Linked DNA regions of Astyanax mexicanus. The protein of the gene in region 2 binds, or shares a complex with, the protein of the main gene of each other region. Links are inferred from orthologs where the notes say so. Each region holds a gene or a part of one and is shown on either strand. Other genes may lie near its edges.

Region 1 (8,041 bases), on a different chromosome or scaffold from region 2:
TTACGCCTTCCCTCCGGCAGGGTTTCCACATCAATGACTACACTGCTGTGTAGTGGCAGTAAGCTGTAACTTCGCGGGTAATACAATCGACAAGCATTGTGGGAAATGTAGTTTTTGGTCAAAAAAACGCTTCTGACCTATTTATTATAGACACTAAGATTTTACAAGCTCTCGCGGGCCACATAAAAAGACGTGGCGGGCCACATCTGGCCCGCGGGCCTTGTGTTTGACACATGTGCTGTAAATAAATGCTCTAAATGAGAATATTTTTATTTGGAATTTGGGAGAAATGTTGTCTGTAGTTTATAGAATAAAACAACAATGTTCATTTTACTCAAACATAAACCTAATAAAGTCAGATATAATGTGCCATTGGTATATTTTTTTAACAATTATTTTGTACAAAGCTGCAAACTTTATAAAAAATATATGTGTTTTTACATTTAATGATGGAAAGTAGCGTGAGAATCCACTAACCCTGGGTAAACACGAGTGGTAAAGCCACAGCCTTGGTGTTGGTTAAAGTCAGCAGGTTTTTGCTGCTGGTCAGAACGGTCAGCTGCTGAAAACCCTGACAAGTTCCCCATATAGGGAAATAATCGGCTGCATCGTTGGCCTACAGAGAACAGAAGAAATAGAACTGCATTTATAACAGTATTTATATAACATATATTTATTAAAAATGGAGAAAAGGACGTCCAAATGTCCAAAACTCTACCTTAATTGCCAGTTCATAGAAGATCTTGGACACTCGACTGAACTGGGATTTCTGAAGGTCAACATCTCCACCTGGTAGCAACAACCTACCATATAAAACAAAGATTTATTTAGAGACTGGACGGAGATCAGACAGTGATGAGGGTTTAATTTATCATAGTAATGTTTGGTATTGAGTATTGCTATCAGAATCTAAATGCGGGTATCGTGACAATCCTAATCTTAAATCTCTACGCCATTAATTATATTTTTAGAAGGAAAAATTCCGGTGCAATTTCCCAGGAAATTTCTAGTATAAATGCGCACAAAAATAACTTTAAAATACATTTTATTATTAGGATTAGTGTCTTGTACATTGACCTAATTGCAAAAGTAAGATATGTAATTAAAAACGACTGAACAAATAGCATTTGTTACCCATTCTCCCCACTCTCTAACTATAAACTTTACCATGAAATATAATTATTACAATCCTTCAGAAATGTTATTTTTTTGCATTGTTGTGTCTAAATCTAAGTCTAAATTCCATCTATGCCTTAAAAGTATTTTTCATATTTTTAAAACTATTTTTCACATATTTTCATAATAAATCCATAATATTTAAGCTGAAATACACTTTTTAGTTGTGTCCCCGGGTTTTACTCAGTCCTGTTACTGTAGCTCATTACCCCATCTGCTGAAACATCTGAAACATTCTACAACAGGAAGTCACATCAGCTGGTTCTTCTGAAGACCACGGGAAGACCAAAATTAAGTAAAAACTACAAACTCATTCCTGTTACTTTCAGTCTTGTTACTCAAGACATAAAAAAGTCCCAGTAACAGGAGTTCCAGTATTAGGAAATTAGTTCCTTGTAAAAAATGAAGTAAAGTTGCATGATTTGATCAATATATATATATATTTTTAAAGTTTAATATATGTGTTAATAGACTCAGAGTAGAAAAAAAGATTTAAAAATAAGTTTAATTTGGAAGAATTACAACAAGCAAATGTCACCCCTTCGGTGGAATGGCGGACATATATTTTTTGAAAGATTGGGAGTACCTGTGGATATATTAAATATGAATTTCTATTTTGACTTTTGATGAAAAAAAAAAACTGAAACACTAGTGGTCTACCTGCATAACTTTGCCCAAAAGCTTTAGTACATTTACAACGAGAAATATAGTAAATAAACCTATTTTTATTTTTAATCCACTTGTATGTCTTATTATATTGGACAGAGACATGTACTATTGTACCATTATATTTACAATCAATAAATAAAAATACACATAAATACATAAAATAAGTTAAGGTATTTTAGTTCAACCGTAAGAAAAACGTAAAACATAAAAAAATACTGTGCACTAACCCGTTTATTGCATAGAATATTTTTGTGTAGTCCTCTTCTGAGCCATTTATCCTGCAAAAACAGATAATCTTTAGGTCAGTCACCTGATCTCTGACCTGTAGAATCTGTAGTTTATATTCATGTTAAGCTCCTAAAAAAAACCCTACCTTATTGGCACAACCCGGGCACCAGCCGACTCCAAATACTTCACATAAGAAGCGGCTATGTAGGAGGATCCTTGGGCATGAGTGTCACTTTCTAGGTTCTCCTGAGCTAGAACACCTGATACAGAACAGGAGGGAATATAAAGAGTCATATGTTCACAAAATTCTCAAATTTACAAATTTTATTTCACTTTTTCAGTTTTTTTTTTAAATTGAAGTCATTAAAAGAGTTTATCCTGCGTTTGCTACACAGGGGATGCTTTCTACTAAATGTTGGATTAGCCCTGTTGTGACAATTTGATTGCATTCAGCTTCAGGAGCTTTAGAGAGGTCAGGATATTGGATAAGATGATCAACACCCAAATCCCAACTCTCAAACCCATCACAACCCATCTTCCAACCCTTAAACTATTGGCAGGAGCACTAAATTTCCAGAAAACACAGGTCTGTCACTTCTTCACAGCTCAATGATTGGAAAAAATGTGCACACAAACTCATCCCAAAATCCTAACTCACCCCCAACACACCAACTCATCCCCAAAACATCCCAACTTATCCTCAACACTCAAGGATTCAAGGAGACCCAAAGTCATCCCCAACATCTCAACTCATACCCAACACCCCAACTCATTCCCAACACATCCTCAACACCTCAACTTATCCCCAACTCTTCAACAATATCCCAACTCATCCTCAACACCCCAACTTATCCTCAACACTCAAGGATTCAAGGAGACCCAAAGTCATCCCCAACACACCAACTCATCCCCAACACATCCTCAACACCTCAACTTATCCCCAACTCTTCAACAATACCCCAACTCATCCTCAACACCCCAACTTATCCTCAACACTCAAGGATTCAAGGAGACCCAAAGTCATCCCCAACACACCAACTCATCCCCAACACATCCTCAACACCTCAACTTATCCCCAACTCTTCAACAATACCCCAACTCATCCTCAACACCCCAACTTATCCTCAACACTCAAGGATTCAAGGAGACCCAAAGTCATCCCCAACACACCAACTCATCCCCAACACATCCTCAACACCCCAACTCTTCACCCATATCCCAACTCATCCTCAACACCCCAACTTAAAATAGTTTATCCTGTTTTTTGTTAGAGTAACTGTAACATATATATTGTTTAAGAATATCCTCATCTACTAGAGTTTGCAGTTAAACATTGCTGTGAAGATTTGACTGTATTCAGGAACCACAGCTAAGAGCTACAATCCCCAACTGATTTTAACAGAAAACAACAGAAACCCGCTCAGAAAACACAACTCAGATCTGGAAGATGTTCTTTTCTCCACAAAATCCTCCATAGAACCGCTCAGAAAGACCCAGTAAACCTAAAGAACAATGGCGAGATGTTTCCAGAACCTTCCAGAGAACCGAGAAAAGCCGGCGGAGCTTCAGCTCCAACCGAGTCCAGCTTCCGCAGGGCGTGGGGAGCACTGACGGTACAGACTCAAAACGCCATATTTATCACAGCAGCAGATCTACAGACGTTAGAAAGCCGTTAAACGTCCGTTAAACGCGGTTTTCCGCGAGACTCACCGATGACGGGTCTGTAGTTGAGGGGGACGCTGGCTGAGGCGCACGCGGCGAGCACCGCCCAAACCACGGCCGGGAGACACATTCACTACAGGTGTGAAACTAATAGAGAGGCTAAAATCTGTTAAAATAGTCAAAACATTCAATTTAACGTTAATTAAACGTCAGAATCGCAGGTTCTCCGCGCGCGCGCCCACTGACAGGATGGATGCTCGTGCTGCTGCGCGTGAACTGCAGTTTAGCAACAGCAAAAAAAAAAAAAAAGAAAAACGTGAAAAACGAGAAACAAAATAAAACTAAATTAAAATGTATACGTAACAGTTTACGCATTTTGATGCATTTACATTCATTAGTTGTTTATTTTACTGCGAATTATAATTTTTGTAATATATATTTTAATATTTTAATCTTAGTAAATTATAATTTTTATAAAAAATCAATTTCCAAAGCTCAGTTTTGGAATTTCCATTGCCACTTACCAGCTGCAAGCTCTAAATAACTAAATAATTTAAACAATATTTTTTTTTCTTTTTTTTATCTACTTTTACAGCTTATACATGTTTTGTGTACTTTTACTTTTAGAAGCTTTAGTTAATTTCGCAAGCAAAACAAATTTTTATGACTAACTTTCAATGAAATAATAAAATAAAATAAATATGTCAATTGTGAATAAAAACATATTAATATTGTTAGACCATGGATTATTATATTTTTAATTTCTCACTCATAAGCAAAACCCTTTTTCGCATTTTTGTATTTCTTTTTTTATATTATAAATGAATAAGCGTACAAAAAACATAAATAAAATAAATGATTGCAGTCATTAGCACAAAAAACCCGTGGTGTTATAAAATAAGGTGAAATATTTAGTGAATAAAATGTTATTCGTCTAATTATTTAAAAGTCGTGTTGCTCTCAGGTGATGCTGCTGATGAACTCACAGTGAGCAGTGTTCACACATCCCATCGGTTTGAGGTTAGAACCTGCATGAGATTATAGGTTATATTCGACCAGTAGCTTCGATGGCACCCGTTGTGGAGATACAGGTTTGTGTTAATTTTATATTTCAGTTTTTAAGTCAAAATAGAGCCACTAGCAGTTGCTAAAATGGTTAATTTATGTGTTTTAAATAAATTTTGAACCCATAATGAAGTATTGTAGCTCTTAAATGTCAACTCTGCCTGGAATGAATCAGAACTGGCTGAATATTTGAAGCCTATCATACTACACGGTGTTTTCCTGATTATTCTGATTAATCATGCTTTAAAAAGGATGAACGGTGCCAGAAACAGATCAAAATTCAGGTTTTAAACATAATAGTGAACAGGTGGTGATGTTTCGCGCACATGAACGCGCGTCTTCCCGAGATGCACATTGGGTACTGCAGGAATGGCGGACGAAGTTGAACAGGTTTGGAGATTTTAGCTGTTTATTTTATTTAATCTCATTTAAAACACATAATCTGAGGCTAGTCTATGTGGTCAAGATTTCATAATATTAGGATGATCGATTAAACCAGTTTTAACGGTTTATAGGTATTTATATGCAGGGTAATAGTAAATTTAGCCGGCTCTGCTAAGCTAAGCTAAGCTAACACAGCTTTTATACAGGGTTATAGTAAGGTTGGATGGCTATGCTATGCTAAGCTAACACAGCATTTATATGCGAGGTATTAGGAATATTAGCTGGCTGTGTTAAGCTAAGCTTATGCAGCGTTTATGTACAAGGTAATAGTAACGTTAGTTGGCTTTGCTAAGATAAGCTAACGCAACGTTTATATGCGGGTTAATAGTAAGGTTATAGCTAGTTGTGCTAAGCTAAGCTAACGTAGCGTTTATATGCGGAGTTATAGTAACGTTAGCTGGCTACGTTAAGCTAACTTTGTTTTCTGTTTTAGTGCCTATAAATCCTGTATTTAAGCAACTGTGGAGTAAATTATTCATCTAGCTGCAGCACTTTTTTAGTAAATTAGTATTTTGCATATTTTAGCTAAAATCTTAATCTCTAAACAGTATTCATATCTAAAATGTTAACATAGGTTACATATAAGAGATAGATAGATAGATAGATAGATAGATAGATAGATAGATAGATAGATACTTTATTAATCCCAGAGAATATAGTAATACTATCACATCAGAATGTTTTTTTCTGTATCACATTTCTCTTTGAGGACAGATCTGCAGACTCCCAGTGTCCCTTAATCGTTTTTTTTGTCTTTAATGGTACTCTACCATATAAAAATAAATAAAGAAAAACATTGAATGAGATGGTGTGTCCAAACATGTTTACTGGTACTGTACCTAAAAGTAACTTGAATTGTGCATATCTTTCTTCTTGTCATATAGTGTCGTTACAAAGAACTTGAATTTGAGGTACCATAAATTGCCCCCCAAAATGTTATGAAATAGTTATGATATTTTAAATTGTTCTGAGGTTTAAGAGAGTTATGAAAGAATGCACTGAACACATCAGCACCTTTAAAAAAAAAGCAAGCAAAATGTAAACATTTTAGAATTCGCAAGTTAGAATGTGCAAAATCTGTTCTTGGGTGGAAAAATACAATGCTGTTAGTTAAATGCACATTAGTATCAGCAGGTTTGACACTTCCCTTTAAGTCTTATGTTTAAGTTTATGTATAACTTTATAATTTCATTTGCAGCAACAGACCACCAACACGGTCGAGGAGCCGCTGGACCTCATTCGGCTGAGTCTGGATGAGAGAATTTATGTAAAGATGAGGAACGACAGAGAACTTCGCGGCAGATTACATGTAGGACTTTTTATAACTAACTGTGTGTGTGTGTGTGTGTTAGTGTGTGTGTGTGTGTGTGTTAGTGTGTGTGTGTGTGTGTTAGTGTGTGTGTGTGTGTGTTAGTGTGTGTGTGTGTGTGTTAGTGTGTGTGTGTGTGTGTGTTAGTGTGTGTTAGTGTGTGTGTGTGTGTGTTAGTGTGTGTGTGTGTTAGTGTGTGTGTGTGTGTGTGTGTGTGTGTTAGTGTGTGTGTGTGTGTGTGTTAGTGTGTGTTAGTGTGTGTGTGTGTGTGTTAGTGTGTGTTGTGTGTGTGTTAGTGTGTGTTGTGTGTGTGTTAGTGTGTGTTGTGTGTGTGTGTTAGTGTGTGTTGTGTGTGTGTGTTAGTGTGTGTGTGTGTGTTAGTGTGTGTGTGTTAGTGTGTGTGTGTTAGTGTGTGTGTGTGTGTGTTAGTGTGTGTTAGTGTGTGTGTGTGTGTGTGTTAGTGTGTGTGTGTGTGTGTGTTAGTGTGTGTGTGTGTGTGTTAGTGTGTGTGTGTGTGTGTGTGTTAGTGTGTGTGTGTGTGTTAGTGTGTGTCATTAACTGACTGCAGACCTCTCATACTGTATCCTGTGTGTATATACACACTTTTTTTTTAGGCTTACGACCAACATTTGAACATGATCCTCGGGGATGTGGAGGAGACGGTAACAACGGTGGAGATTGACGAGGAGACGTATGAAGAAATTTACAAGGTATGAATTAGTGCTGTGCGATATGATGATAAATATCGTGGGGACGATAGAAAAGTGTCTTCAATCATCCCCATCATTTCTACAGTAATTTCATCAATTATTCATGCAAAAATATAAAGTAGGCTACGATGAAATGTATTGGCGTGCTTCATAATGTGGTTTTGCGACGTGACTCTGCTTTACGCTGTTTGACGGACACTTTAAAAAATGTTAATTGAGTTTATTTTGATAGCTCAATTCAAATACCTGTATAATTTTGAAAACATCAGCTGCTGCATCTACCTCATCTGTTTTTATTTGATACATATATATTGCTGCACTAAAAGGTAGTAATTCTTATTTGTGAAAGTTGGGTTTAATGTCACTTTGAAATAAAGTAATAAAGTCTCCATATTTTAAGAAATATCAATTTGTTTTTAGATATATCAGATAGATATAAAATGAGACAATATTGTTTATTTTTGTCGTCTGTTTCTGTCTTTCTTGTTTTTTATATTTTTAGTCTACGAAGAGAAACATCCCGATGCTGTTTGTCCGTGGAGACGGTGTAGTACTGGTTGCGCCGCCCTTAAGAGTTGGGTAAAAAAAAAATTAAGAATGGAAGCCACCCTCCTCCATCCTCCTCCACCCACTCCCTCCGTCTCTGTAAATTGTGTTCAGGAGAGCATACCTGTGTTGTCTTTTGGTAGATCACAGAATTGTGACTGTAATATTATTTTTTTATTTCTTTAGTTGAAAAGTCCTGTTGATGCTTAGCGTGCCGAGTTTTTAGGTTGAT
Region 2 (8,472 bases):
TACCAAAGTAAAACTTTCAGACTAGCATCTGAAGTCTGACTAAAGTCAAAAATACTTTAAATATTTTAATTACAGTAATGATCTACAAGAGCAATTCTAATGATACAAAAACATGAGACGCCGTGTGACTCTAACTACCTGTAGGGGGTCAACTGAGGTGTGGTTGTCTCCGGTCTGGAGGTGCTTGGCGAAGAAGCTATCAGGAACAGGAGTGAGTTTCTCGTAGCGCGGGTTCCTCTGTCTTTTGTTCCTCGCATCTCCCACATCTGGAATACTCAGCCACTCCTCTTCTGATACTTCAGAAAGCTTCCTCTACACAAACACAGAGCAGAACATGTGTTTCCATAAATATTTAATATCAAATTAAAACAAATTATCAAGTTAAAGCAGGAGACCACTTGGTCCACTTAAGAATTTGTATATGTACCTTCAGATCTGAGAACTGCTGCTGGATCTTGGGACGCTCCATACGATACTTCTCTATCTCCTCTTTTTCCCTCAGCTCCCTATAAAAATACACATTTAATTAACACACAGATATTAACAAAAGGATAGAAAACAAGCATGATTGCAAAAATTTCTAGTTTAATCATTACAGGCACATAACTTCCAAATACTTCATATTTATAGGACTTTAATTAACTATGTAAATTCTGTGTCATAGTATTTTAATATTTTACACAACAATATTTGTTTGATTTGGATATGATTGAATGTACATAAACAAATTAATACTGAGATACCATTTTGAATATCTGAAATATATATATATATATATATATATATATATATATATATATATATATATATATATATATATATATATATATATATAAACTCCTATTCATTAATTTTAGGTCAGAAAACCTTTTTTCTGTGTAAAAATATTCTGAAAAAAACTACCTATGGCAGCATAAAATGAACAATATAGCACAAAAAGTACTGCATCAAACAGAAACCATTTTTAAATATAATTCCTAATCTGACTTCTTTGTTTAGAGGAAAGAGATCTTACCTTCTCTCTTTTCGCCTCTCATCCATTCTTTTATCCAGTGCTGCATAAATAGCATCTGCCTCTTCGTCATCTTTCTCGTATGGTCCACTGGAGAACAGGCTCCCAGCATAACCATTAAACTAAAGGACATAAAGATCAACAAGGTATAGTATTCTTCAATAACAAAGCCAATTAACCATCTAAATCACTACTATTAAAACAATATAAGCAGCATATAGTGTTCTTGTGGGTGTCCAGTATGACAGTTTTTTTTTTTTTTTCACCTCCTCAACTTGAGCATGTACTGCAGACCAGCTGTTTACTCTCCACTCCAGCAAAAGATGCTCCACATATGAGCTGCTAACACATCCATTTCACCTTTATAAAGCTACGAGTCGTCTATCAAATATGACGTTTTATTGTTGTTGGTGAAGAAAGTGACGTTTATACATGTGCATATGAGACGTTTCAGGGACAGATTTCTTTACATTACAAACAGATACATACAGATCACTTTCATTTGTGAATGTGAACCGTCAGAGTAGCCAAATCCGATTTAAGCAAAAAAAACAAAAAAAAAAACAGATTTGAGCAACGGGGCTTGTAATGTGAACGTAGCTCAAACAGGTGGTTATCAGTCGTGCAGCTGGTTGTTAAGAATAAGAAACTGTAGCCACACTGGCCCAATGTGAGCAGGTTCAATACCCCTGTTGTCTATATTTTAATAACACAATGCAGCTTCTCTTATCTTATACTTAGTTACCTCATCATAGTTGGTGTCGTTCAGATCCTCATCATCATCATCTTGGTTCTTCTTCATCTGATCTCCCACTGTTCTCTTCCCTGGGGGAGCATGACGGTCATCCACTGGGTCATTAGCATCTCGAGCAGGACCAATATCAGAACGCGTGGTGAAACCTGTGGCACTGCAGGTAGAAAACATTCAGCAGGTCTTTAATTGTCAGTGTGGTTGAAATGCTGGTCACCCACACAAAAACATACCCCATACAAGTAAGCATGCTGAGTGTCCAGCTCCTGCCTGACTATACTTAAGCTGGTTGACTAGTATGATCTTGCTGGACAACCGGCTTTGTTTTAACCTGTATGGTCAATCTTGGTCATAGTGGTGGAGTACTCAGGACAGAGTGATAATGATTGTGTAGGTTACACACCTACTTAACCATTAAATGTAAATAAAAGCATACCCTATGCTGTTCAAAATCTAGCTGATATCTGAAATGAGAGTCTTGAGACTTGGCTCACGCAAAAAGTGAACAAGGTCCACAAACATTAGAAGAGCTGCGGAAGCCGTAAGGCAAGAATATTTTTCATGTGACTGTTTACAAACTATTTATAAATGAACACATTTTGCAGTTCATATGCCTTCTATGGTTATTACTTTAATATGTGCAGTATTTTAAACAGGTTGCACTTTAAAGTAATTATATTTAAAGTCTTTTTATTTTGCACTACTTTGTCTTATTGTGCAGTCTTATTTGTAATACAAACAAGTTTAATAAATAACATTACACATTTTTCAAGAATGATCTTTATTGCATTAATTTTATCTAAATCAAATGTATAGCAGTGAAACTGTGACTCTTTGCTATACAAGGTTGTAGCAAAAAGGGGAGGTTTATAGGCAGAGTTGAACACAAAATGTATTCTATCAAAAAATATATCAAGAACCATGAGTGTGGCAGAAAAATAAATTGTTAATTGGGGACAAAAGTTGTGAGTCTCTGATAAATCACAGTATTGATACACATTACTTGTATTATAATATGTAACAGTTATTGTATGTAAACTCCACCAGAAGCATGGCGGGAAATAATCTCAGAAAGAACCTAGTTGCAATCTTGCGAAAAGTGACCATGCAAGATGCCTAATCTTTGCAAAATCTTAGCCTGTAAGTAAAAAGTCTGTGACTTGTGTTTTGATGTGAGGGGGTGTCAGATTTTAGTCTGTTAAAAGACTTTTCAGAGTCGTGCAGTGAATGTTCAGCATTAGGCTAATACGGGTCGCATACAAAGTCTTCAGGACTGTAACCGATAAATAGCTAAAGATAAACTAAACAGAATTACTATCAGGGTTCTGTTTATTAGCTAGAGTTAGTTAGCTACGTTAGCTCGCACACATGCTAAAGCTGCTAGCCGGCTCACCCTCTCCCCAGACCGGGTACGTATCCGAGCGGAGCCGGCATCCCCAGAAACGGCTTCTTCTTCTTGTTGTTAATTCCCCCCATGAGCGGAGAGGCCAGGGGCATGGCCGCCCCGGCGGCGGCCGCTCCGCCGGCGGGCGCTGCGGGACCTTTAGCGGCGCCTTTCTGAGGCTGTTTCGCCGCGGAGCTCGCCATCGCTGCTGCTGCTGCTTCCACAACCACAACACGCGCGCTTCCTCTGCAGCTCGAGCTGTAGGTAGAGCCGAACTCCCTGCAGCGCCTCTGCTGGCGGGGGCGAATAGCGCACTGCTGAGGAACAGTACTGCAACCCTGGTACTGCAGTTCACAGGGTCCTGTGCCCTGGTTAAAACACCTTAAAGTGTCTAATTGTGGTCTTTAGAATGAATGAATGTGTTTCGGTGATCTGGGTGTTATGTCGAGTTATGTTACCTTGTTAAACCGTGCTACCCTAGTGTATATTTAACTGTAAAAATAAAAAAGAAGCACCATATTTCAGCATGTTCCCAGTAGAATTTCCAGTAGATGTAACGATAGCTAGCTAGTATATTTGCATAGCATAAATCACTGTATTATGGTAAATTTATGTTAATGAAAGGTAATTACGACCTCCTTTTTTCATAAAAAAAATAAAATAATATTAATAATTGTTTTTATTGTTATTTATAATTTCCATTTACACTTTCGTACAATGACAGTGCGTCTAGGTTGTTTAATGCACAAAGAAATAGACTTATTATAAAAAACCATAGACTGTATATAGCTGGACAGAGCATCGTCTCTCAAAAGTGAAGCCACCACAGGTCGGGCGCCCCCTGCTGTTCGGCTGCAGAAAGCTGTGTAACTCCACCCATCCCCATAGGTTTCAATGGCAAAACAGACAACTCTCAATCACGTTTTTTTCTAATATACTGTAATTCTACCTCCATTATTTAAATGCAACAGCTAGTGTATCCTCTGCTTACATTGTTAAAATTTAATATCCACACAGAATTCATTTTTTAAAACGTTATTCAGCTCTATTCAAAAAGGTGTGGTTATTGTAAAAGGGCTGCTTATGGGCGGGACCAATAACAGACCGTCAGCTCCGCTCCGCTCCGCTCTGCAGTCTGTGACCGCGAGGCAGCCCTCAGGGGCGGGGTTATTCAAATGAGTAGGTTGCTATCCACAGACTTTCTCCCTCCTCTGGTCTCTACTGCGCAGAATCGGGTGTCAGGATCGCCAACATGGCGGAAGATTTTGGCTTCATTTTCATTGAATGAATGGGAACGGAGACACGGCGTCCATCTTTTTTTACAGTCTCTGTAAAAAACACACACACAAGAAATCATCAAAAAGGGTAGGTCAGCGCATGCGCAATGTCTTTAGAGAGCACATATTTATATGGGTAGCATTATTCGACAGAACAGGTGTAACGCTGCTGTAGTCAAGTGGCGAAGTAAGCACATAACAACCCAACGCATATATCACTGATGTGTTATTTGCACAAGAGAAAAGCAGAAACGGCTCATAACGGAAATGGCAAGTGATACGCTTATTTACGTTTTTTTAATGTTACACCCAAAACACGACCACAATTAATTAAGAAAATTAGCTCACGCATTTTGCAAGTTTCAAGCTGCACAAGGCATACTTTTCCCGTCTTTACAATAGCATAGACACACTGACAGGAGCCAAGTAGGTCCAAACGTTATTTGGTTATGCAACTGAGTTAACCCATTTCCCGCTGACCTGAGGCGTCACTACACGTTTATGAATAGAGTGGCTGAGCTTTAGGGGAACTAGCAAGTGTGAGTAAGAAGTCTCTCAGAAGAATAAAGAAGCTCCATATGATGAAACAGCTTAAAAAATAGAAACATACAACTGTTCATAAAAAACTGGATTTTAGGAGCAAGTTTGCTCTACATTACATATATTATATGAATTTCCCCCTTCTGCAAGTGAAAGCAGGTCAAAGTTGGCATGGGTAAACCAGTAAGCCTGGCCTGCTGTTGTTGTTGCACTATCACTATCTATACTGCAGGGGGCAGCAGAGGCATGCTTTTTTTTTCGAGTTAACTATATATAAAACTATAGCTTGTGCGCTCTGTGTTACAGACGGTGTAGGTTTGTTAAATTTTTTAATATAAAATATAAATTAATTTCCAATTGTATATTATTATAATGATTATTATTATTATTCACTCTCTTGCTTGAATTGTTTAAGGTATGTTGAATGATGGGCGTCTAAGAATTTCCTTAAGTTAAACCAAGACAAAACTGACATTATTATCTTTGGAAATCCTGATTCAGTTAGCATAATAGCCAGTGAACTCTGGCCGTTAAACACCAACGTGCATGAGCATGAAAAGAATCTTTCATTGAAGGTTTCATCTTCGACACTAACCTACATTTTGAGAAAAAAATCAGTACCGTTGTAAGAGGAAGTTTTTTTTATCAGCTTATTTCCTCCTGTGTCGCCTACTGAACCTCACTGTACCTGGGTATCTGCTATGTCTGCAGTTGGTCCGAAATGCAGCTGATTATCTCCTGAATGGGACCAAGAAAATGGAAAACATCACCCCTGTTTCATACAGCATTACTACTAGCCCTTCAGCCGTCAATGGCATTGACCCCCCCCCCCCCCCCTCCCCTTAACACTTAATATTTTCCTGCTCTGAAATAAGCATTCTTGATAATGTTTCTGATACAGACGCATCAGATTTTCAGTAATAATCACACTCTTAATAGCACACCTTTTTGTATAGGAGGGGAAACCACATAAGGACACTCATTAAAACACATTATTGATTTTTCTTGCTCTAGAGGCGACACAATTATAATTTATTGCAGGACAGGGCGCCCTAAAGGGCATGCAGTCATTTTTTTCTCCCATGTGAAGGTCAGCTAATAGAGCCCATTGTCTCATTTTTGCTTCTTTTGAAGCCAATTTAACACAAATATTTCAACCTCAAAAGAGGAAGTTAAGAAACACATTAAAAAAAAAAGGTATGACTCCGCCTCTAAGCTGACATCATGTAAAAAAAAAAAAAGTGAGGACACAACTTATTAAGGCATGGGAATGACATCCTAAGATGTGACTATGACTTATTAAGGCGTAAAAACAATATCCTAATTCGTAGCCATGACTTATTAAGGCATGCGAACGAGATCCTAATCTGTGGATCACACCTTATTAAGGTGTGGGAATTACATAATTAAGAGCCAAGAGTTATTAATGTGTGGGAATGAGATTTTAAAGTGTGACCACGACCTTTTAGGCATAGGAAAGAGACCCTAATGCGTGACTTTGACTTATTGAGGCATAAAAACAAGATCCTAATTCGTAGCCATGACTTATTAAGGCATGGGAACTAGATCATAATCTGTGGTTACAACTTATTAAGGCATGGGAATTATATAATTAAGAGCCAAGAGTTATTAAGGTGTGGGAATGAGATCTTAAGGCGTGACCATGACCTTTTAGGCATAGGAAAGAGATCCCTAATGGGTGGTCACGAGATTCTAAGGCTTGACCATGGCTTATTAAGGCGTGGAAACGAGGTCCTAATGCATGACCACAACTTATTACAGCAAGGCCACGAGATCCTAAGGTGTGACCATGACTAAATAGGGCGTGAGAATTCAATTATTAAGTCGTGGCCAAGAGCCAAGGTGTGGGAACGAGAGCCTAATGCATGACAAGGACTTATTAAGGCGTGGGAACGAGATCCTAGTGCATGACCACAAGATCCTAAGGCTTGACCACAAATTATTGAGGCGTGGGAACGAGATCCTAATGCATGACCACAACTTATTATTGCATGGCCATGAGATCCTAAAGTGTGACCACAACTTATTAAGGCGTGGGAGAGAGATCTAATGCATGACCACAATTTATTAATGCGTGGCCACAAGATCCTAAGGTGTGACTATGACTTTTTAAACCATGGGAACAAGATCCTAATGCATGGCAACAAGATCCTGTGGCCTGACCATGACTTATTAAGGTGTGGGAACAAGATCATAATGTTTGGCCACAAGATCCTAAAGCATAACTACGACTTATTAAGGCATGGGATCGAGATCTTAATGCATGACCATTACTTATTAATGTGTGGCCACGAGATCCTAAGGCCTGACCACGACTTATTAAGGTGTGGGAACGAGATCCTAATGTGTGGTCACGACTTATTAAGATGTGGGTATGGGATAATTAAGTCATGGCCAAGACTTATTAAGGCATGGGAACAAGATAATTAAATCATGACAAATAATCATTAAGGAGTAGGAACGAGATAATGAAGTTTTGGCCAAGACTTATAAAGGCATAGGAAGGAGATAATAAGTCTAAGCCAGAGTATAATAAAGCTTGCTTTTCTGTGAATTATTGCTCATGAAGAAATTGAATATTACATCAAAGCTCCAATCCAAAAATAATCTTAAGTAAAATAAAATGGAATGTGATTTAGTTTCTTTTAATTTTCATCTGGGAATAAAATATGGCAATATTTTGGGGTGGCATAATTGAAAGACGCACAGCATACAGACCCGTTTAACTTCCTTGGGACGTCATACAATCCCTGAGAGCTGGGTGCTTTGTTAGCCTGACACCCCACCAACAGTCTAATTTTACATCTTACACCATCTGTGCCGTAAAATAATGATGGAGTTTATAAATATATCTATGCCGATGAGCGTGGTGCTTTGAAAGTGAGGTGTGTTCAGGGACATTTCTGGCTTATTGCTATCTTGGCAGCAGAAAACACAGGTGTGCCACTGACTGATTAAAACCCTGACAACAGTCAGATGCCCATTCCTGCAAGGCTCATGCTTACACCCCCTGCTCCTTACACATACAGAAGCACTGCGCCGTTCAAATACCAATCCATCAAAGTCAAAGCGCACTGGGTTTGTTTTCTAAAATAAAAAAACATTCAGATTCATGCGAAAAAAATAAATGCTATTTCATTGCTTAGTATGAGCAGATGCACTAAAAATCCGTCCATTTTTAGAGCAGTAGATGCTCTGCACTGTCCAAAGGATTAATGTAGACGCTCTAATCTCTTGGCCTTTTGACAGCTTTAGTTGATTTTACAATAGTGATAGACCAAGTAGTGACCTTTTAGTGACTTCTTTCTGTAATAACTACACAACGCAGTACATATACTTTTACTCTCAGTACTTGAGTAGAAAATGCTTAAATAAACTACTTGCAATACTTAAGTACAAAAAGTGTTGAATACTTTAGTACTTCTGTATGATGCTGAAATACTGTATGATGCTTAAAGGACACTAACCTCTACTCACTTTTTTGATA
Region 3 (8,248 bases), on a different chromosome or scaffold from region 2:
CCAGTTTATGGAGTGTAGGAGTGGTTTTTATACATATGTATGTGATCTTAAGGAACACCCTGATGTTTCATAGGATTCCTCTTACCCAACCCTCATATCAAATGTTCACGTCTGCTTAATAAGAGTGCCTGTTTATACCTGGTATTAACTTTGTGGTTTGTATGTGGATAATATCTAGATACTTTGACAGAATTCTGTTTACACCTGACTTTGTGTGTGTTCAAGTAAAATCCAGACATCACAAAACATCGAGATAAAAATGGACAGGTTTTGTAAAAATGTACCTGAACCTGCTATTTGATGGCTTCCGGCTCTCTCCCTCACTTTCTGCATTGTATACAGTAGCGCTTTAACACACAGCCACTTAACAAATACTAATATTAGAGAAAACACTGCAATAGTTTTGTGTTCAGTGTAAATGATTAAGTGTTTTCATTTATTCTGAAAGTGCTTTTTTTGCCATGTTCAGCTAAATAAATTTGGTTGCCACATATTCAGTGTATTCTTTCAAAAAAAAAACATGATAAAGCATTGTATTATATATTATGTATCTGATTGTATATTATACAGATTTACTCCATTTATCAAATTTATTAAGAAATCAGATGTCACTTGCAGAATAATGACCAGGGCTAGATAATGAAACGTCTTAAACACTGCAGTAGGTTTTGATGTGAGACACTTAACCACACTTTCTCACCCTCTTCAATCTCTGCTTTTATTTTTATCACCCCATTTTCCAGCTAAACTGGCTCGTCTCTCTCTTTCCCTCCCTCCGCTGGAACTTTCGCTCCCTCTCTCTCCCGGCCCCAAAGGAGGATTCTGGGACAGGACTGACCACAGAATTGGTCGCAGACGGGGAGTTTCGAATGGAAGTGATCCTGAAGAAGATGAGGAGGAAGAGCAAGAGGATGAGTCATCCAGAAAAGTTATTGTCATCACGGAAACAGATGTTCACAAGCGAGTAGGCCTGAGGAGCTTGCTAAAATCGCCCAAGGAACCCTTGGACAAAGAGAATCGTGATCACGGAAGAAATGTGTCCTTTTTTGATGATGTCACTGTCTATCTTTTCGATCAGGTACCGGTCACACATTTAACTTTGTGTAGAGACTAAAATGTGTCTAATATTCTAAAAGAACTGCCTTTAAATCATGTTCTTTGTCCAGAGAGAGGAGAAATGTTGTTAATGTAATTTTCTTGTTGCAGTAAGGCAGATGTTTACACTTGATTTGTTCTTTACTAATTAACTTATCTTGTAGGAAACTCCAACTAATGAGCTGAGTTCTGGCTCTGCACCCACAAGCCCGTCTCCCCTTGGAAAGCCTGCTCACTTCGATGGACTTGGTGAGGGCTTTCACATTTAGCTGCATAAAGCTAATGCAGAATTTACATAAACATATTAAATTAAATACATTGCAGAAAACTGAGAAGACCATTATTTTACATCATCATGTTGTGAACCATGAATATTCATTCAAAATGTTTGCTTGCTGATTAGATGAATACAGAATTTACATAACTTACTTTTAAATATTTTTTTAAGCATTTTACATCAATATGTACTAAATTATGTGCATTCCTTCAAATATGTTTGTCCACTGGTTAGAGAACTGCTGCCTTTTCACAACGAATGCTTGAATATAAAACCACTTCTTTTAAGTGCCAGACTGTCTGACTGTGAGTTTGAGTTGCATTATTTATTTGATTAATTTTTCACAAATCAGCACTAAATTTAGATGCTCTCATTTCACAGCCCCTCTTGGAGTGAAAAGCAGTTCAAAGCTCTGCTCAAGTCTATTTCAGGAGTACTGGATCCTGAAATCCTGAGCTTTTATATAACAAGAGATGAGTAGGAGAAGTATAGTGCTGTTGACCCTTTGATGTGGTTTAATCTGAGTTAATTAATCAGCTTCACACTGTGTAATCTAATGTTTGCATTTTAGATCAAATTAGCTAAAGCCTTTAATCTGATAAAATGCACTTCTTAAAGCTAAATATGGAAAATTATGTCTTTATTTATATAACTTTGGTAAAGTGGGCAGGACAACTGTTGTGAGAAATGACTAACACACTTCATTTACTTCTTTCACCCTTGATATTGGTTTTATAGACAAAACAAGACAACCATATTAGTGCTAAAAGAAAATGTAATTTTTTTAAGCCATCGTTGCACATTTTGTATTTAAAACAGTGGTGTAAATGTGAAGTTACTGCAGCAAGCTTGCACTAGTGAGTTCAAGCGCTCATGGAAGTTGTAGTTAGTTAATCTTAGTAATTTATTCATGAGACATTATAACTACATGATGTGTGCAGTATTGAATAATACTTCCTTACTGCCTAAGGCATCTACTTGTGGTAGGTGTAGTCCATCAAGTAATTTAGATGTTGGGATTGGGCCTCAGTAGGCCACAAAATACAAAATGCCCCAAAAGTTAGATTTAGAAGTAACCTGTATAACTTGTGAGATTTATAAACAGACCTCTTGGAGTCCATCTTAGAAATCCCAAGTCTAAGGCAGTATTTCTCAATTAAAAAAAATGAAGAAATGTTCAAAAAATTGCACCCTATGGTAAGCAAACCTGTTTCAAATCCAGTATTTGTTCTATGTACATTTGTCTCTTAATAATTCCCAGACCTACGAGATTGTTAAGGAATCTTAATTTTAACATCCTTGCTAAAAGCAGACCAACACACAGCACTAAGTAATAAATTGCATGTAATCATTTAAATAGTTTATCTTTAACATTATTTTAAAACAACACCAGCAACTCTTTTTAAAACTTTTTTTTACTACTGTCAATGCAAGTCAACTACAACATTTAACAGAGCTTTGATTTGGTTTAGGGTATTTTGGTGAGGTCAGTCCAAAATCAACAATATCCATATTTTAACAGTCTCATAATTCATCCACTACTAGCGTACATGATTCCTTATGTATTTCTTTAAAGTCTGTATCACTTCAGTATTCAGGAAAAAAATAATAAAAACATTGAATGAGAAGGCTTGTAGAAAAATGCAAAATATTTTTATGTTTTTTTTTATTATAAAAAAAAAGTGCTGTGGGACATTAAACTTAGCTTAATGCTTTATCTTTTTAATCACATGTATGTTTTTTCTGCTAGGAAGCAGCAATCACAAGACCAGCAAGAACAAAGACCACATAAAGCCAAGGTCTCCCACAGGTGTCAGTTCAGTCCCACCATCACGCTTCACCGTCAGCCCTGCCAACGACCCACATTTGGTGTGACCCACTATTCCTTCCTATACACCTGGAGAAAATGTAGCTCTCTGGAGTGACAGAGTTTCTCTGTGGTCATCGTGAAGCACGGTGGCTTCTGGAGGTTATTTTTTTAAATCAGGCTAAAGACTCCTGTTTTCAAGGCTGGAGGTGTTCCAGGTTTTACTTTGCTGCGGGAGCAGGTCCGTCCTGTGCAAAGCAGGAACCTCTACAGCCACGCAGCCGGGAGCTATGTAAAATCTGAAATGGAGTTTACGGCTATGCAACGGGAGTCTTATTGTGTACCAGCTTAACTGCTCTATTTTCATGGCTTCTTGAAGTACATTTGTATTCTGATCCTCTTCCACACAAGAGGAAGCACTTTCTTTGACCAGTACCTGTCTATTTGTGAGCTCGAATAGAAATATTGCCATTGTAAATTTGTTCTCATTGCAGTCAAACATCCTCGTAGGCTTGAGAGGGAAATCCCACCCTCCCTATCTAACAGTGCAGTGCTCTTTTAGTATTTGTACAAATGGATAGTGAATTTACTGTACAAACTCCATTTTAAAACCATTTATTTTAGATGTATTGTTAGAACGCACGACACAAAATGAACCTGCTACCTACTGTTATGTTTTATACTGTATTTTTTATTGCAAATTGTTGTTTGTTTCTGTATTTCTGTTTACTTCATTGTGTATTTAATTATTTATTTATTTATTTACTGTACGACTGCAACAATTGCACAATTACTTTGCTTTAATTGTTTTTGGATGCTGTGCATTGTTGAAATAAGTTGCTTCATCCATCTCATTAAATAAAACCAGATATTTCCATAAGTATAAATGCTTTGAAATATTTTATATCATTTACCGATTTCTAGATGTTAGTCTGTATCTATTTGTCATTTACTGTGTCTGTTTATAAATGTTATTTTTAACTGTGTATTTGACATGTTCTCGTCATTACTTACATTCAAAGCAATTACTGTTGCTAAGCATGGAGGAAAAATGAAGGCAGTGCACATGTCCATGAATTGATCTGTTTATTCAACTTTAATTTGATGATCAGTGATTGGTGTCGAAGGTGAATCAGAACATTTGTAACGTCGCTTTCAGCATCTGTTTCATTGCGAGGTTTCTTGAGGAGGTTCTGGGTAACCAGGAGTGGTAAAAAACAAAGACAAAAAAATAAAACAAAACGAATAAAACTAAATCACATGGAGACTGTGAAACATTTAATGAATTGTTTGATGAAAATAAATTGTACTGGCTTATAATAAATACCCTGCTGTATTGAAATTTTTGAGAAATATTTAAAATTTCCAAACAACTTTAATTTCATGTAATTTATTTAAAATAATTGATTAAAAAAATATAATAAAGCTTGATTGATATGGGCGCAAATTATTGAAATTTTAATTTAAAGCTGTGAATTGTGTTTTGTCAGAGCTGGTTTACGCTTCCTCAGATATAGCTCTGAAAAAAAAGAGTCCACTTTGACCAAATATTAAACTTTTTGCATTATTTGAGGTCTGAAAGCTCTGCTTTTTTGTAATTTCAGCCATTTCTCGTTTTCTACAAATAAAAAAGTGGTCTCTTATTTTTTTTTTTTTCAGAACTGTATGCCTTTTGTCTCAGTGAAACTACATTTCCCACAAGGCTTTGCGATCTACTGCGCTATTAACGACGCGTTTAACGTGCGACCGTTACGACGAGACTGCGTTGTTTGTGAATGGTTTTGGTTAGTTTCGCTCGTTTTTAAACAAACTGTATTTTGTTTGTAGTCTGTTACCCGTGCCGTGTTCCGTTGTGAAGGGTAGGAACGCGTTTATAAGGTAAGTAGTAATGAGTTTAGTCCTCTTTTAGAGCTTACTGAATGAAATTATAGCGAATAGTTCAGTCCGGTTCAGTCGTTAGTTACTTAGGCGTGCTTAGTTTACTGATAATAAAGTATTTTAAACTGTTATTTCTGTTAGAAACTATCACTGTAACTGCTTGCATTACCAGAACTTAAAGTGTGTGGGTTAGCACTAAGCATGCTAAAAAGTACTTTTAAATCATGTAGTTAAGCTAATCTACTGTGTTTTAGTCTCTTTTTAGAGTAAAGGAATTCTGTTGTACTTGCTTGTAGCTTACTAGCTCTCTTCAGTTCCAATTTCACATGTATTTAGTTTAATGATGTGTGAATGAACAGATAAAGACTGAGTTTACCATTCTCATATCTCCATGTTCTAAACAGAGTGGTCAGGTAGGCTCTAAGACCTTTTTGCTGTTTAACATTTTTTAAAAACATTTTCTTCAGTTTTTGTTATTGAGAAATACTGCCTTAGACCTGGGATTTTTAAGATGGACTTCAACAGCACAACAAACATCCTCAAGAGGTCTGTTTATAAATCTCACAAGTTATACAGGTTACTTCTGAATCCAACCTTTGGGGCATCAGCATCCTTAGCTGCACTATATTTGTTTGGGTAACCAGCAAAAGCTGTTACAGCCAGAAAAAAAGGTCTAGGGACCTACCAGACCACTCTGTTTTTAGAATTAATGTAGGCCTATGTGACCTATATTTGAAGAAGTGGTAACCAAAGCACACTGGTGCCATTTATTTTTCTGTCTTTTTTTCTAATGTTTATCCAAATTTTGTCCCAGTTTACACAGTTAATTACCCAACCCACTCATTAGGACCCCTATCATAATGCCCCAACATCAGGAGGATGTAGATTAGCACATGCCTCTTCAAATACATGCCTGCCAATGCAGCATTGCCCTGTAGCCAGTGCACTCGAAGGAAAGCACATCGACCCGGTTCGGATACATCAGCTCACAGAATTAGCTTTTATTTGTAATTAAATTAAGCTGTTTACTTTAGAAGGTGATTTGTATCCATATATAACCTTTTTCTTGGTACAAAGTTAAAGTTCCTTTATTTATCTCCCAAGGAAGAAATTTTGCTTAGACACAGGGCATGCTGCAATACAACAGACAGACAAACCTAGACAGCAACATGTGACCAGAAGCCATAACATTGCTGTACATCGATGACTTGGTGTATTACATTTTGTACTTCTACAGAACCCCACAAGCCCCATACAACAAGGGTATACTTAGACCTCAATGTTATTTAGCTGCTCTGTGGTACAAAATGGTGTTTGTACCTGTTATTCCTGCACAGGGGAACCTTGTATCTCCTACATGAATTCATGAGCTGATACTCAGGATACAGCGCATGTGTGTTATCAGATATAATATTTGCTTCTGGTATTTAAGGATTTATATCGAACAGAAGTGAATCATTTAGTTTTCCCACCCTCTATTAACACTCTCCAGCCCGTAAAGCTGTGGCTGCAGTAGATGCAGGCTTACTTAAAATGGACAAAACATATAGACTGGTATGATATATCTTGAGGTCTGCTATGAACAGAATCTGGCACAATATTTTGAATGCATAGACCTGACCCGCCTTGTTTCAGCAGTTCTGACACAAGACACATTGCTGTGGCCCCTGGAGATCAGTAAGAGTTGAGGGCCCAACATTGGCGGACCGCCTAACTCTGGTATCAAACCCAAACCCTTTTCCTCAATGGTCCAGTGCTTTAACAGCTGATCTACCACTGCCCACAAAGGTAGAGGTGGTGTAATGATATTTTCTAAGCAGTGGTTTGAGTATTTTTGATTTGTGTACATTCCTGTAAGATCATAATTAGATTATATTACTATTTCCAGGATGATAATTTATTATGTCAGAAAGTAAATGTAGCAATGAGAATAATACAAATGAGCAGTGCAGCGTGTTTTTCCAGACTGGTCAGAATTCCTTAAAAAATATGCTCATAAGTTTTCTCCTTTAACTTCTTTCAAAAGCATAAAAAAGCTTTGCTGATTGGAGCATACTGAGCAAAAGACTAAATAGGTGTCTAAATAATTTAAGAGACCCAGCTGATAACAGATATTACAAATTGACTCCTAATAATGCCTTTCTTCGCAGATGTCTTTAGCGGACGAGCTGCTGGCAGATTTGGAGGAAGCAGGAGATGAAGGTGAAGATGGACTGTATCCAGGAGGGGAAGGCGAGGAGAGTGATGGCGAAGACAGAGAGAGAGAGGACAATGGAGGCCTGGAAGACATACCAGAGGAGATGGAACTGGACTACAGTGGGGCAGAAAGCGTGTCGTCCATCGCAAAGTTACGAAACAGCAAATCAGTCAGTACCCCAATGAGTAACTCAATCACTGTTCATAACACCTGCTCACTTTCTCTGTCTCTAAACTGTGCTTCTTGTTTTGGCAGTTTTCTGAAATCATGGAGAAGATTTCTCAGTATGTAGGGAATCCACGCAATAACACAGATGGTAAGAAGCAACCTCCTGGAATTAGGTTGGTGGTCCACGTGGAGGTGTACCCTGAATAGCAGCACTCATTTATTGATCTTTTCCCACTTACAGTATCCGGCCCTGTGGAAGCAGACCCCGAGTACCGGCTCATTGTTGCTGCCAACAACCTGACTGTGGAAATCGATAACGAATTGAGTGAGTTTGGTTTAGTCATTTTTCTTCTTATGCTTTACATACGTTTTTAGTTTTATTGTTTGGATTGTGTGTTAAGGAGGATTAGGGGTGTCACGATTCTCTAAATCCTCTACTCGATTGTATTTCCAATTTTAGGGTCACGATTCGATTGATTTGGTTCTCTTTTTTCTTTTTCTTTTTTACAGCAGAGAGGCCTATGCCAGTTTTAGATTAGTCTATGGTCAGTCATTGGGTTGATTCAAGTGATCTGTAATACACCACATTAGGCACTAATGGTCGAATTTAAATAATTTAATTAAGATATATATGTAATTCTGTCTAGTGGCTTTTTTGGTAGCAGCAGTGTGCACTAGTAAAAACAGCAATGTCAACCTAGCAAAATAAATAATAATAAAAAATACAGGAACAGTCATGTACAAAATAATAGAACATTTACAGCCTTAACAAACTGAACTCCATCCTACTATAACAGTTAAACATGAAAAATAAGACTTTAAGATT

Evidence for each region. Proteins that work in one complex are often made in the same cells at the same time.
Region 1: prpf6 (region 2) and lsm3 share a complex: the UniProt entries of both Homo sapiens proteins name them as parts of the U4/U6-U5 tri-snRNP complex. The link is inferred for Astyanax mexicanus from reciprocal best matches to the Homo sapiens genes PRPF6 and LSM3.
Region 3: prpf6 (region 2) and prpf31 share a complex: the UniProt entries of both Homo sapiens proteins name them as parts of the U4/U6-U5 tri-snRNP complex. The link is inferred for Astyanax mexicanus from reciprocal best matches to the Homo sapiens genes PRPF6 and PRPF31.

What each region holds. Positions count from the first base shown.
Region 1 is NC_064431.1:723,595-731,635, forward strand, and holds the start of lsm3 (snRNA-associated Sm-like protein LSm3), read left to right. Parts: upstream 1-4,709; 5' UTR 4,710-4,802; coding exon 4,803-4,826; intron 4,827-5,082; exon of another isoform or gene 5,083-5,169; coding exon of another isoform or gene 5,170-5,190; intron 5,191-6,442; coding exon 6,443-6,553; intron 6,554-7,167; coding exon 7,168-7,263; intron 7,264-7,765; coding exon 7,766-7,846; 3' UTR 7,847-8,041. Other genes in the region: zgc:171566, read right to left, coding at 478-616, 719-803, 2,073-2,123, 2,219-2,333, 3,784-3,865. UniProt on the Homo sapiens protein: Plays a role in pre-mRNA splicing as component of the U4/U6-U5 tri-snRNP complex that is involved in spliceosome assembly, and as component of the precatalytic spliceosome (spliceosome B complex).
Region 2 is NC_064420.1:15,937,511-15,945,982, forward strand, and holds the start of prpf6 (pre-mRNA-processing factor 6), read right to left. Parts: upstream 3,389-8,472; 5' UTR 3,351-3,388; coding exon 3,157-3,350; intron 1,921-3,156; coding exon 1,758-1,920; intron 1,135-1,757; coding exon 1,016-1,134; intron 507-1,015; coding exon 428-506; intron 313-427; coding exon 139-312; intron 1-138. UniProt on the Homo sapiens protein: Involved in pre-mRNA splicing as component of the U4/U6-U5 tri-snRNP complex, one of the building blocks of the spliceosome.
Region 3 is NC_064413.1:29,851,996-29,860,243, reverse strand, and holds the start of prpf31 (U4/U6 small nuclear ribonucleoprotein Prp31), read left to right. Parts: upstream 1-4,916; 5' UTR 4,917-5,057; intron 5,058-7,207; coding exon 7,208-7,423; intron 7,424-7,509; coding exon 7,510-7,570; intron 7,571-7,663; coding exon 7,664-7,747; intron 7,748-8,248. Other genes in the region: uncharacterized protein lmtk3, read left to right, coding at 744-1,078, 1,260-1,344, 3,123-3,247. UniProt on the Homo sapiens protein: Involved in pre-mRNA splicing as component of the spliceosome. Required for the assembly of the U4/U5/U6 tri-snRNP complex, one of the building blocks of the spliceosome.